Linked DNA regions of Oryzias latipes. The protein of the gene in region 1 purifies or fractionates together with the protein of each later gene. This does not show direct contact. Links are inferred from orthologs where the notes say so. Each region holds a gene or a part of one and is shown in the gene's direction. Other genes may lie near its edges.

Region 1 (4,409 bases):
CAATCCAGAGATAAATCTTAGCTTGACATGAAGCTGATTACTTAATTTGTCTCCACAAAAAAAAAGACAAACCTTTTTACTCATAGTATACTTTACACTGAAAAAAGGGACTTTGTGAAAAAAACCTAAATAAAAAGAAAAACACTGGCTCTGATATCTTACCACCACTTTGTTTTTATTTTAGAAATGATTTTTAGAGTTTCAAGATTGCTGATCTTCATGACCTAGCAAAAGCGGAAGTTCTTTGTCCAAAAACGGATCGCCATATTTCATATATAAAACAGTCAAACTTAGTGTGTTAGATATTACTTTAAACTTTCCTTGATGTTTTTATTCATAGACATTCCAGTGAGAACATCAAAAACAATAAAGTAGTGGTTTTGATTGCCTCATCACTGAACTTACTCCAAATGTTGTCCGTATAAACTTTGTAACTACTTAAACTTCTTTTATACACAACAAATACTTAATCTTAGCATTTCTATTTTTCTTGTCTGATAGGTTTTCACAAATACATTGTCACAATCAGAAAGTGTAAAATATCATGCGCTTTGACCTCAACTGAATCCAACAATGTTTGCAGTTCTTTGCATGTTCTGCTTGTTCCACGGTCTTCTGTGTGGCATTCATTCTTGGCGTTGTTTTGCTGGCTGATGAAGTTTTCTACTGTTCCAAATTTTAATTTGTCTTGATTTTAGTGCAGCTAATGATGATTAATCAAATGCTTTGCTCTGCCCTTTGTGAGTTGTGTATCTCTGACACAGTTTAGGACTTGTTTAAATCCAAACTATGTGAATAAATGTTAAAAGCATCCCAGCAAAAGAATGCATCCAGCTCTAACTGGATTTCTCCTGGTGGCCTTCTCAGCTTATTAAACATAAGTGAGCTCGATCAATTGCTCACTTGTTTTTTTTTTCTCACTGTTTAATTGCTGAAGCCATAGAACATCCAGTTAGGTTGTAACATTGTCCGTCTAACAGGTTTATTCTGCAGATTCAAGCCTTTACAGATTGTCCAAAGGTACTAAATGTTTCTTCAGCTGAAACAGGCATGTGACTTGACATTTCAGGTCTCAATAATAACTTCCTCTGACTGCCTTATTCTAAGTCCTAACATTTGCCTATAAACAACCCTTACTAATTATTGCTCTCTTTGCCAATGAATAGCAACTGGTGCAACATGCAGCAAAAACGTAATATGCTAAACTCTTCAGTTCTGGGATAAAAAATTGTGAATTGATCCAACCGGTGTTGACATAAAAAAAAGTAGTTTTGAACTTTTTATTTTATTTTACAGGACTTAAATTAGAATGTAATGTCTTGACATGTGTCCTGCTTTAGAAAAAAGCCGGTTAAGAGTTTAATGGTTTGAAAACAGTAAACAGTTCTATTATTATTATTATTATTATTATTATTATTATTATTATTATTATTATTATTATTATTATTATTATTATTATTATTATTATTATTATTATTATTATTATTATTATTAACAGATTTTCTAAATTTAGCGCGTTTGCTACTTAATGCGATTTCGATATTTTTGACAACGGCCGGCTACCATAGACTGCACGTATATGATTGGGTAGTTCGCGGGTGTCGTTGAAAACAGTCGTTTGCTAGACGTAATAGCAGGTGAGTGGAATGTAAACCAAGCCATTTACCTCTGCTTGTAAAGCAAACATGCGTTTAGCCTATTTACATTGCAGATACAATTGTTTAGAAAATCTTAAAGAACCTCCGGCATTATCTCTACAGACATTAGACAGTTAACCCCGTCAGTAGCCAGATGGTTAGCTACGCTAGCAGTAGCAGCTAACGTCTCCCGCTTGCTCAGTGATTTAATTTGTTCATTGATGCTTATTTCTGTAGTTCAGCACGTGGTTGGAAAAAATGAGAGTTGGGCTTTTTATGTGGTATTTTAGCGGAAATAAAACATCGTTTTTTATGTATTAAATCCACGCTATTAAACATAAAACTAATCATGGAGGACGATGGCGATGCTAGCACAAGAAACTAAAAGGCTAATATACAAAAACCTTTATTTTTCAGATCAAGCAAGATGAGTATGAGAAAACAAACGCCGAGTGACTTCCTTAAGCAGATAATTGGTAGACCAGTGGTGGTCAAACTAAACTCTGGTGTGGATTACAGAGGTAAAACACCTGGCGTGCCAGGCTCAGCCGCACGGTTCTCCTTTATTGTTATTTCTAAATGTCTGTTAAGGAATGAGACTTTAACCAAAACTTTGTTCCTGTTTGCTATAACTTATGCAGGTGTTCTGGCCTGTCTGGATGGTTACATGAACATCGCCATTGAACAGACAGAAGAGTATGTTAATGGACAGCTCAAGAACAAGTATGGGGATGCCTTTCTGAGAGGAAACAATGGTAAGAGGTTACATTTTTACAATAAAAATACTGATTAAGCCTTCTGCACATAATGACGTTAGTCAAGGGGGTATGCCTTTAGATTATATGTTTTAACTTTACACTGAATAGTAGGTATGCATAGTCAGTTAAATAACCCAAAATCATTGGTTAATGATATTTGACCTATTCATCATAGTTTTAATTTATTTTTAAATACAGCGATGTATGTCTGAAACATGCAAATATGGTGAAAATATTTACATTGCATAAGGCATGCCTAAGAACTCATTTAAAGAAATTGGAATTATTGGTCAAGTTTAGGTGACTATGGTAGAGAGATGTGGTTTGGAGTTGTTTCTTTGCAGAAATGATTAGGTAAAAGTAGCCTAATCAAATAGATTTAATGCATGTCTTAAACCAGGGGTCGGCAACCTTTACCACTCAAAGAGTCATTTGGAGCCGTTTCCCACAGAAATGAAAGCACAGGGAACCGCAACACAAGGGGTGTTAGAAATAAAGCGTTTTGCTTTTGAAATGTCGCAATAGTTCATTTGACAATACTTGTATTGATTCAAAATGCTGTCAGGATATTTATTTAATTATTTATTTTAATTATTTATGAGCCTTATGTTTCCTTTGATCTTTTGTCCATTTTACACAACCTTGATCTTGTGCCCCTACGAGATTACCGCTGACTGTCTTTATAGAAGAACTTTCCATCCCATACCAGACTCTGGTCAGTATTCACATGTGCAGACACGCCCCCTCCGCGTGCTCACGCTGCGCTCTTCCTCCTGACCGCTCGCGCTACCCGACGGTGTTAAAGGCTCTACAACAATCTTAGAACATGATAGGTATTTTACAAAAATACAGACAGTCGCAGCACAGGGATGAAAGCGGCTCCGGAGCCGCAGGTTGCCTACCCATGTCTTAAACCAACAAAAAACTATTTGGGGAGTATTAGAAAAAAGTTGACAATTTTGCTAATAGGAACGTTTCAAAGTGATAGAAATGAATCTTAACAATTTTAAGTGCATGATTGATTTATATTGGTTTAACCAAATGGACAGTAATGACACAAATTTTTAAAGGTTTAAGGCAGTACGAAGCAGGATGATCTATAGGTGTGACACAAAAACGATCAGATGCAGATTGTTTAGGAGGCAAACGAATAGAATGGGCTGGCTAAAATATCTTTAACCTCTTAAGACCTGATGTCCACATGTGCGAACATCACATATTACCACAGTTGTTAATTTTGCTTAACTGGGGCCCTGTGACTATGTGTAGAGGGTTATCTCAAATATTAGCTCGGGTCTTAAAAGGTAAAACTATCACCTTCCCAGTTTATCTGAGTTTTTTCTTTTGCATATGGAAAATATATTAAAAAAAAGACTTTGGATACATCTGTAAATGGCATTTCTAAAACTGCAGTAAATAATTTCACTTTACCTTTAAAAATGTAAATTCTTTCACTAACTTATACCATCTGCTGTGAGATTTCATCTTTAGGTACACAAAATCTGTGTTTGGGGAATATTTGAAATTTGTTTGAAATGTTAACCACTAATGGAGAGCTAGCCTAGCATATTCTGACACAACACAATCAAGGAAACCTTACATAATGATGTAAGCTTTCTCTTTTTTGTCCTTTTATTTTCTAAAGAAACACACTTTATTCCTATGTGTGGACAACACAAAAATCCAAAAAAATTATATAAGGGCAATACCAATGTTACTACTTCATCTGCAGAGACAGCCTAAGCACTAGAGGTGTGTATTGGCAAGAGTCTGACGATACGATGCGTATCCTTATATAGTACCGGAGCACATTTTCTTTCTTTTTTAAAAAGAAAATGACTTAGAAAAATATCTGACTTAATTTCAATATGTCTTTCATTGTAAAAAAATGGTCAAATTCCATTTAATGATCACAATGTTGAGCACTGCAACTGTATCTCATATACAAGTTGCTTTTACCCAGGCAAATTCAGAGTGCTTTTATTTTGGTAACATAAAATATGGATAGGGAACA
Region 2 (4,232 bases), on another chromosome or scaffold:
TTGTGCAAAAGAAAGATGAGGAAATTGATGAGAATCAAAACAGTGAGCAATATATTAAAATGTTGAAGGAAAGGAATGGCTCGTATAGTGAGATGTACCTGTGGATTGTACTGCGGATGCAGATCTGACGCTGAAGGATAGGCATTTGCGTAGGGCCCTGTGGAGTGGGACTGCGGATACCAGTATTGTGGAGGGTAACTTGGATACTGAGGAGCATCCTGTAAAAGGCAAGTTGACACGAGACAGCGACTCACTTTATGTGATCCAACCCATTTTGTGTAGCTATCCTAAATCTCAAATAGAGATATGGAGAACTTGATGCTGAGAAACTTAAATGATAAACGCATTGATAAACATATACTCGTGTCTTTCTAGAAAACTAAATAAATGGATGTTAACTTGTGTTTAAATGAATGAAATAATTTGAGCTAAACCAATGATTAACTCATGAAACTCTATATGATCGCTACGATCTCCTAACGTGCAGAAGTGTTGTGTTAAATCGATATTTTCGAGTCAATGTAATTTAAAAACAAGGACTTAACTAATAAGCTAGCAGTAACTATTACATAATGCCCGCTAGCTATATTAGCTATGAAGCTAGCATGATGAACATTGCGAAGAACTTCTGCACGAACGAACAAACGGATTTTATTGTTGGGAGATTTTAAATTAATCTTTGTTTCTTTAAAGCACAATATGATCTGTCACCCCCTCCCCCCAGTAAAGTTTTTTTTAATTAATCTGCTCGCTTACCATAGTGTTACTGCAGCTTCCGTGACTATTTCCCGAGTTAGTAGAGGGCCAGCCAGTTTTCCCGTTTGGCTGCATTTGGGGTTTCTGCATCAGTTACACGTATTTTGCCATCTTCCAAAATAAGCAAGACTATCACTAGTTTACGGTTCCGCTAGAAATCTGACAGCTGATCAAAGCAGCAGCTTCCCCGCAGAAGTCAGGATCGCCTGATTGCAACCAAGAAATGAATAAATGACGCGGAACTCTGGAGACATGGTACTGCGTCTTTAAGTCGAGTAGAACCATTACAAGTAAAGAGGAGTCACTCTCTAAAACTTTCTGATCGAAATTGCTGGATGAAACCTTACAATTGCAAAACGCAGAAACGGGGAACACAATTAGAATATTTTTAATTAAAGATATTTATTTTCAATATATTTTACTGCTAAGACCAACTATTGAATTACTCCTGTAGCAGTTGTATTTTTTAAACATGTGACGCAACTTTTCAAAATTTTCATTTACGATCTTTGATGTGGCACATGCGTTGGAAGGGTTACCATCCATCATCAAATGGGGACATTTAATCCAAACATGTTTTATAGAAAATTCTTTTTGTATCATAAAATGTATGATACTTTTGTTTAAATCATTTTTACACAGTTATTTTTAGAAAATTCGAGCTATGCGCAATTACGGTGCGGAAGGGGTTAAATGTTTACAGGAAGTGTATAAAAGCACTTCCTGTGCACCGTCAAATAGAAACGGGTAAAAACATTCATGGCTTGATGGTTCAGAAATCAACTAAACGCGTGAAAACTGCAACTAAACATGAATTACGTACCAGGGACGGCCAGTCTCATTGACGATATTGACAGTAAGTTGGGCCTTATAGAAATTGCTTTTTTTAATCATAAACAAACGACACAATGTATTAGCGTGTGCCGTGTGGACGCAGATTTTTTTTAAATGTTTTTAATTTCGCAGAAAAGCACTTGGTCCTGCTGCGAGATGGCAGAACACTAATCGGTTACCTGAGAAGCATCGATCAGTTTGGTAATAAAAAATGAGAATCTTCTAAACTCTTCCATGCGGGTTTATTTTTTTATTTTTATATGATTACGCGGTGTTTCAATAGTCCTAAATTTGTTTGTTTCTTTCTTTTTTTTTTTTTTTTGTTCCACAGCCAATTTAGTCTTTCATCAGACGGTGGAGCGTATCCACGTGGGAAAGAAATTTGGAGATATTCCCAGAGGTATCTTCATCGTCAGGGGAGAAAATGTAGTCCTGCTTGGGGAAATAGTAAGTGTTTTAGAGCAATTTTTTAGTTTGTTCTAAACTTGAATGTAATTTCTGGATCAAGTTTTATTTACGTGAACTTGTTCTCAGATGCTCCGTACAGCACCAAACATCAAACTCTGAATGTGGTCAAGCATCCAGGTCTCGCACTGCAGAAAATGATGTGACTCTTATTTAAAGATCAAGTTAAATTTATATGCAAGTAAATTGTTACTTTATATAGTTACTACAGTTATAAACTTTTTTTTTTGAAAAGTTGCTGCCTAAATGAATACTTGCTTAAAAAGGAAATTGCGCACACATTGACTGTAAAGGTACCTCCATGTTAAGGTTACTTAGCAAAAACAAAAAAGGCTTAATTTTACAACTTTTTCAAATTTGCTGTTTGGTCTAGCCAGATTTTTTATTTTTCTCTCCTGGTTTTCAATATGATATAAAAGAAAAGCGGGTGGGAAAAGTGGTGAGGATTGTCAATCTTTGCTCTTTCCATATAAATACAATGCATACTTCTTCTTACTTTTTTTTTTCTTAATTATAATTTAGATTACCAATGATTACACAAATGATTGCAGGATTGCTGCTAGTTTACCTCACAACCCCAACCTAACATGATGGTGGTAGAAATGAATACGGCAACAATATTAGAGCTATCCAGCCATAGTTTGGAGCCAGATCTCAGCTCCGATGAGGGAAACAAAGAGGCACATGCATCGTTTTGTCTACAATGGATGCATCAGAATAGAGTGGTGCAGGGAGCTTGTGGCTTACCATTCGAACTTGTGTCACACAAGTTTTTCGTGGGTCCTTGAACCACGGAGTTTAAGCATCTTTTTGGGCAAAACTATGAGCAGGCCATAGCATTGAGTACTAGCAACTTTTGTTAGTGTCATGGAATGATGCACAGAGCCTAAAAGAACTTGATGACATTTTCGGATCATAAGATTTGACCTCACTCTCCTGTGTCCTGTGCAGGATTTGGATAAGCCCTGCGACACAGTCTTGCAGCAGGTTTCAATTGAGGAGATCCTGGAGGAGCAGCGGTTGCAGCAGCAGGCCAAACAGGAAACGGAGAAAGTCAAAATGCAAGCTCTGAAGGACAGAGGCCTTTCCATACCCAAAGCTGATAATTTGGACGAGTATTGAACCCTTTACAAGCCTTTTAGTTTGTATAAGACAAATGGATTTTATGTTTAACTGAAGGGTGTCTTTTGTTTTGTGGCTAGAATCATGTAAGGCACAATACTGCATTGTTTTGTTTTGCTTTTTTTTCTTTTCTTAATAGTTTCATTTAAATTGTATGGGGATGTAAGAACTGTTTAAGCAAATGGTTACAACTTGACGGCCTTTTTACAGCAGCACTTTGTCATCAATCATCATAATGACGTGAACTTTTTATTTGGAGATGGTGGGTCTGCTAGTGACTAACACTCCTGTTCTCCATTAAAACAATTGAGTTTCACTTACTAAAGCCTGCTTGAAAAATCTTTTGTCTTTGAAGGTTTAATCTGCAAGTACACAGAAAGCGGTGCGTTTAGTCATTTAAGTATTTATTGGTGACTTGACTGGCTTCCTATTGGCTAATCAAAACGTTAATTCTGTTATAGGGATGATCTTTCAGATACTGATCAATTTCCCTCATTAGCTGCTAGAATAAAGTGACGTGTAAGAGAAGCTATGCGTTTTACAGTCATCTTTATATGTACCCCGTATACTTTTTTATTTTTTTTTATTTATTTTTTTCTTAACCTATAGCAGGGTTCTGCAACCTTCAGCACATAAAGAGCCATTTGGGTTGATGTCTCAATGACCACGCCCCAGTAGGAGTCAAAGTCTTTATTTTTTTATTTTTTTAAGACTAATTTGTCTTGGATACTAATATGATAAATATAGATGAACTGTTATTTGGCATAAATAAAAAAATATAAAGAGAAAATAGCTTTTTTTTTAAAATACCGGTAGTTTAAACTTTTGATGGAGGTTCATGTGACTTCCTCTCAATAAGTGTCCTGTTTCACATGGGATCCTCTCAATCCAGCAAATGTAGAAGTGTAATGTCAGCAGTGATTAAAAATAGATATTTTAGCATTTGAGGTGCATAACAGCCAACATTTGTAAATCAAATCAACAAAAAAAAATTAGAGCTAAGTGACCCTTGCCATATTTATTAGAACCATAAGGTGAACTTAAAAATCCTTCAA
Region 3 (4,424 bases), on another chromosome or scaffold:
TCTGTGAAGGATTTTTTTCTTCAGATCAAGGATATCTCTTTCACCAGGATGAACGTGGAAAAGAATTAACTGCTGGCTTTGGCGTGTTCCTCTTTCTTGTCCTGTTTGATTTTGTAGTCTGAGAGCGCTGCTTTTATGGCATCTTCTGCAAGCACTGAAAAGGAAAAAGTGAAAGGACACGGCACAAATTTAATGCAATAACAGCAGGAATTCCGATTTTGATGATTGTTTCTCTATTTATTTTGTAACACTAAGAGTAAATAACGAATAACACTCATATAAAAGATCTATTTACAATGTAACATGCAGTTTTGCTGAAATGGGGTTAAATATGAAATTAATTTAGTGGATTTGGAGAACTCAGGAAGTTGTACTTTTTTCTCCTCCTTTGTGTTGTCCAAAAACAAGTGTCCACACAAAAAAATAATTTTAATACAAATAAATCCTAAAACAGGCAATCAGTTGTGTCACACTTTGTGTAATGTGATTTCAATGCAGCAATTGTGTGTATTCTACCATTAAATGTATCATCTACAAGGCAGGCAGCTCGAATAGGAAAATCAAACTTACTGGAACAATGAAGCTTGACTGGAGGGAGGCACAGTTCTTTGGCAATGTCTGAATTTTTAATCTTCATAGCTTCATCCAGCTACAGGATTTTAAAAAGTATGTTATTATGATCCTTAGATAAAACAAACAAACTTTTCGGAGCCTTTTTTCGTAACTCACCGACTTCCCCTTCACCCACTCTGTTGCTAGGGAGCTGGAGGCTATAGCCGACCCACAGCCGAATGTTTTAAACTTTGCATCCACTATTTTTCCATTTTCATCAACTTGAATCTAGGATCAATATTAAAGTAAATTAATAATGTATAAAAATCTGAAATATAACGTGTTTGGCCAAATTCAAGCTTACCTGGAGTTTCATTACGTCACCACAGGCTGGTGCACCTACCAAACCTGTCCCCACACTTTTGGAGTTTTTGTCCAAAGATCCCACGTTTCTCGGGTTTTCATAATGGTCAACCACCTTCGAAAAAAATTAAAAATATATATAATACGGGGTAGGTTACAGAGACACAAATAGCATGTCGCATGCATTAGCTTGTTCAGTTCAGCCACACCAACTACCGTTTTCGCAAAACTGGCAACTTTGTTTAAAATAAAAGCCGTGTATTTGTGCATTCAATGTTTTACCTTTTTGTGGTATGAGCAAAGTGACTTTAACTCCGGTCTAAATAGCCTGCTGCAAAACAAGGAAGGCAAGGACGCACAGTTTCGTACACTGATCATCGCCATGTTCACATTGCCGATTGTGAACGATGAATGCCGAGTGAACACGAGAGGTGCCGAACGCTGTTTGCTGATAAACATGGTGGACTTCGTGTTAACATGTCGAAAAAGCTCCATCTAGCGGTTGAAGTGGTAATTGCCAAACTTGCTTCTTTTTTTATGTGGCTCAGTGTTTTATTGAACCAGTCACCGTCAGTGTCACTGGCATGGAGACACACTTTTGTCCCGCTCATATTTTTGTAGTTATCCCCGTTCCAATTGCTCCCAATGACCGCAACTGTAAATTGTTTCTTAAGTTAGTTTGTCCACTCACGCACTCCGTAATCCTAATATTTTGAGGCACGAGCATAGCGTGAACGCGCACGTCTTTCACCGTTGGGACGGGGCGGGTTTTCAATAAGAATTGGCTGCTCAGGCTGCTGTTGCCAGGCAGACAGTATTTCCAACATGGCAGCGCCAGCTAACGCAGAACAAACGCAGTTGCAAGATATGGAGGAGGACGGAGCAAAGGTGGAAGAGAGGGAGATGGATTCAGACGAAGAGGAGGACGAAGAGGGCATGCGTGTCGAAAACTCAGACGAAGAAGAGGACGATTCTTCGGAAGACGAAAAAGAAAATGAAGCCGAAATCCAGCGGTTGGAAGAACAGGTATTGACATCATCAAGCAGTCATGCTTTAGCCGAGGTGCTAATATCAATGAATGAATCGCAAAGCCTATACCAAGAAGCAGTTATAAAACGACTCACTCATCAGCATAGTTAACTCTTCTTGACAAATAAATAAATATCATTTTTGTTAGCGAATCACACATGAAACGTTTACGATGTTTATATGGCAATCCTGCTCATTCCTGCTAACTGGTTAAGCTAGCAGTTATCGCGCCTTTTTATCCTTTCGGGATATTGTCATCATTACTCTTCTTGACTTTTAAAGAACAAACTGAGGGGTAGCCTGCACTGTATTCTGTACATTTGTCCTGTTTAGTATATAGTGAAAATAATGTTTATATTGTGCTAAGGAAAGGGTTAAATGATTCCTTTATCTGTACCCACTTAAGATTGCTTACTTAGACTGCACAGTTTGTAGTGTTTACTTTGTCTTTAGCTGTGTCCAAGACGGTCTTTGGGTTTATAACCTTTGACCTTTTGCTTATAATAAGGAGAACTTGGCTCATGTGTTTTTTTTTCTTTTAATACACAATAAAGAGGAATTAATTGGTAAACATTTGACAGCAAAGTTTTGACCGCTTGCTATTGGAGTCTTGCTTTATTTTTTTCTCTTTACAGTACTATGCAATAATAAGGTTACATAGCTTATAGAAGCTGCCTTATATTTTGATAATGTATTGCTACCAAATAATATTTTTTTCTGTGCTCATCCTCAGCTGTCTATCAACGCCTTCGACTACAACTGCCACGTGGATCTCATCAAACTGCTGAAACAAGAGGGAGAACTTATCCGTCTGCGAAAAGCAAGACAGAAGATGAGCGAACTTTTCCCTCTTACTGAAGGTTAGGTTATGTCTAACGCAGTTCCAGCACAGACAGAATACTAGCACTGCATTGTTTGTGACAGATATGTAAACGCCTCCTTTTTTGTTTCAAATTCTGCAGAAATCTGGCTGGACTGGCTCAAAGATGAGATTCGTCTGACAGAAGAAGAGTCAAACAGAGAAAAAGTCTATGAGTTGTTTGAAAGAGCCATCAAAGACTACATCTGTCAGTGCACCATGTTATTGTCATTTCCTTTAATCCAATGTTCAGTTATTAGATTGCCTTAATGTCTTTTGTTTTTTTTAACACAGGTCCAGAAATTTGGCTTGAATATGCCCAGTACTCAATTGGGGGTATGGGCTCACCAGGTGGGATAGACAAGGTGAGATCCATCTTTGAGAGGGCAGTGACAGCTGTGGGGCTTCACATGACAAAAGGACAGTCAGTGTGGGAGGCATACAGAGAGTTTGAGAACGCCATTCTGTCCACATTGCAGGTTTGTGTTTACTTTTTTTTTTGTCTCTTCAGACTCAAAATCTGGGTTTAAATTTCAAAGATGCTTTACTTAAAGATAAAAAAGTCTGCATCTTTAAACAAACAACTATAGTGTTTGACAGATTGGGCCAAATTTCATCTTTTTTTGTTTTGTAATCTTCTGTCAGCCTCCCCCTGGCAAAGTTCCCAGGAATGAGGAACAGGAGCTGATAAAAACCCAGCTTGAAAGAATTCACACACTGTTTCGCCGTCAGCTGGCCATCCCCTTAATGGGTAAGCAGCCAGATAAAATTCAAAATCTGAATCAGTGTTGCTATTTAAGTGTACCTTTTTTAGATGTCACCAGATTAAAATAGTTCTAATCTGTAAACCTTTGGACTTGTGTGCTTTTGTAGACATGGAAGCTACTTATGCAGAGTATGAAGAGTGGTCTGAGCATGGAGTGCCTGAGGCCGTCGCGCATCAGTACAAAAAAGCGTTGCAGCAGATGGAGAAGTGCAAACCCCTTGAAGAGGCTCTGGTAGCTGACCTGCACACATTTGGTTTTGAATCTGTCTTGAGCGACTTTTTTCTAGTTGTTAACATCTTCTTGCATCCGTCTGCTGCAGCTGGTGGCCGAACCTCCTAAACTGGCTGAATATCAGGCCTACATTGACTTTGAATTGAAGGTGGGGGACCCAGCACGGATCCAGATTACCTTTGAAAGAGCTCTGGCAGAGAACTGCTTGGTTCCAGACATGTGGTCTAAATGCACCAAGTATCTTGTGAGTATTGATTATTGTTCAGTCTATAAAGAATGAAATTTTTGCTATGTATTTGTTTTAGTTCAGCTGCCTGTTTCTGTTTATTTAGCATTTTAGTAAATTGGCCAATTAAGAAAGAAAAATGAAAACATAATTAAAAAAAAAGTGTTGCTTAGATTTTTGTCTTTTATTTTTGATCTTTTAGGATCGCCAGCTGAAGGTTAAAGACTTGGTTCTGTCCACTCATGAGCGGGCTGTTAGGAACTGCCCCTGGACCATGAGTCTGTGGAAGAGCTACCTGCTGGCTTTAGAGAGGCATGGAGCAGACCATCACACTGTGTCAGGTACCAGTTTGATTACCTGTGACATTTACCACATGTGTGATGACTAACTTTTAATT

The links.
Region 2: the proteins of lsm6 (region 1) and lsm1 purify together in Homo sapiens (co-immunoprecipitation; 3 studies listed by BioGRID and IntAct, counting the BioPlex papers as one, with this or other methods). This does not show direct contact. The link is inferred for Oryzias latipes from reciprocal best matches to the Homo sapiens genes LSM6 and LSM1.
Region 3: the proteins of lsm6 (region 1) and sart3 purify together in Homo sapiens (affinity purification with mass spectrometry; 4 studies listed by BioGRID and IntAct, counting the BioPlex papers as one, with this or other methods). This does not show direct contact. The link is inferred for Oryzias latipes from reciprocal best matches to the Homo sapiens genes LSM6 and SART3.

The regions. Positions count from the first base shown.
Region 1 is NC_019859.2:18,489,049-18,493,457, forward strand, and holds the start of lsm6 (U6 snRNA-associated Sm-like protein LSm6), read left to right. Parts: upstream 1-1,549; 5' UTR 1,550-1,637; intron 1,638-2,054; 5' UTR 2,055-2,064; coding exon 2,065-2,158; intron 2,159-2,278; coding exon 2,279-2,392; intron 2,393-4,409. UniProt on the Homo sapiens protein: Plays a role in pre-mRNA splicing as component of the U4/U6-U5 tri-snRNP complex that is involved in spliceosome assembly, and as component of the precatalytic spliceosome (spliceosome B complex).
Region 2 is NC_019867.2:18,635,509-18,639,740, forward strand, and holds lsm1 (U6 snRNA-associated Sm-like protein LSm1), read left to right. Parts: upstream 1-1,476; 5' UTR 1,477-1,566; coding exon 1,567-1,612; intron 1,613-1,722; coding exon 1,723-1,791; intron 1,792-1,921; coding exon 1,922-2,037; intron 2,038-3,006; coding exon 3,007-3,177; 3' UTR 3,178-3,705; downstream 3,706-4,232. Other genes in the region: bag4 (BAG family molecular chaperone regulator 4), read right to left, coding at 99-218, 757-846. UniProt on the Homo sapiens protein: Plays a role in the degradation of histone mRNAs, the only eukaryotic mRNAs that are not polyadenylated. Probably also part of an LSm subunits-containing complex involved in the general process of mRNA degradation.
Region 3 is NC_019867.2:12,885,811-12,890,234, reverse strand, and holds the start of sart3 (squamous cell carcinoma antigen recognized by T-cells 3), read left to right. Parts: upstream 1-1,501; 5' UTR 1,502-1,740; coding exon 1,741-1,941; intron 1,942-2,677; coding exon 2,678-2,804; intron 2,805-2,906; coding exon 2,907-3,011; intron 3,012-3,097; coding exon 3,098-3,282; intron 3,283-3,448; coding exon 3,449-3,554; intron 3,555-3,676; coding exon 3,677-3,801; intron 3,802-3,889; coding exon 3,890-4,045; intron 4,046-4,229; coding exon 4,230-4,368; intron 4,369-4,424. Other genes in the region: iscu (iron-sulfur cluster assembly enzyme ISCU, mitochondrial), read right to left, coding at 66-154, 571-649, 730-840, 917-1,030, 1,198-1,299. UniProt on the Homo sapiens protein: U6 snRNP-binding protein that functions as a recycling factor of the splicing machinery. Promotes the initial reassembly of U4 and U6 snRNPs following their ejection from the spliceosome during its maturation.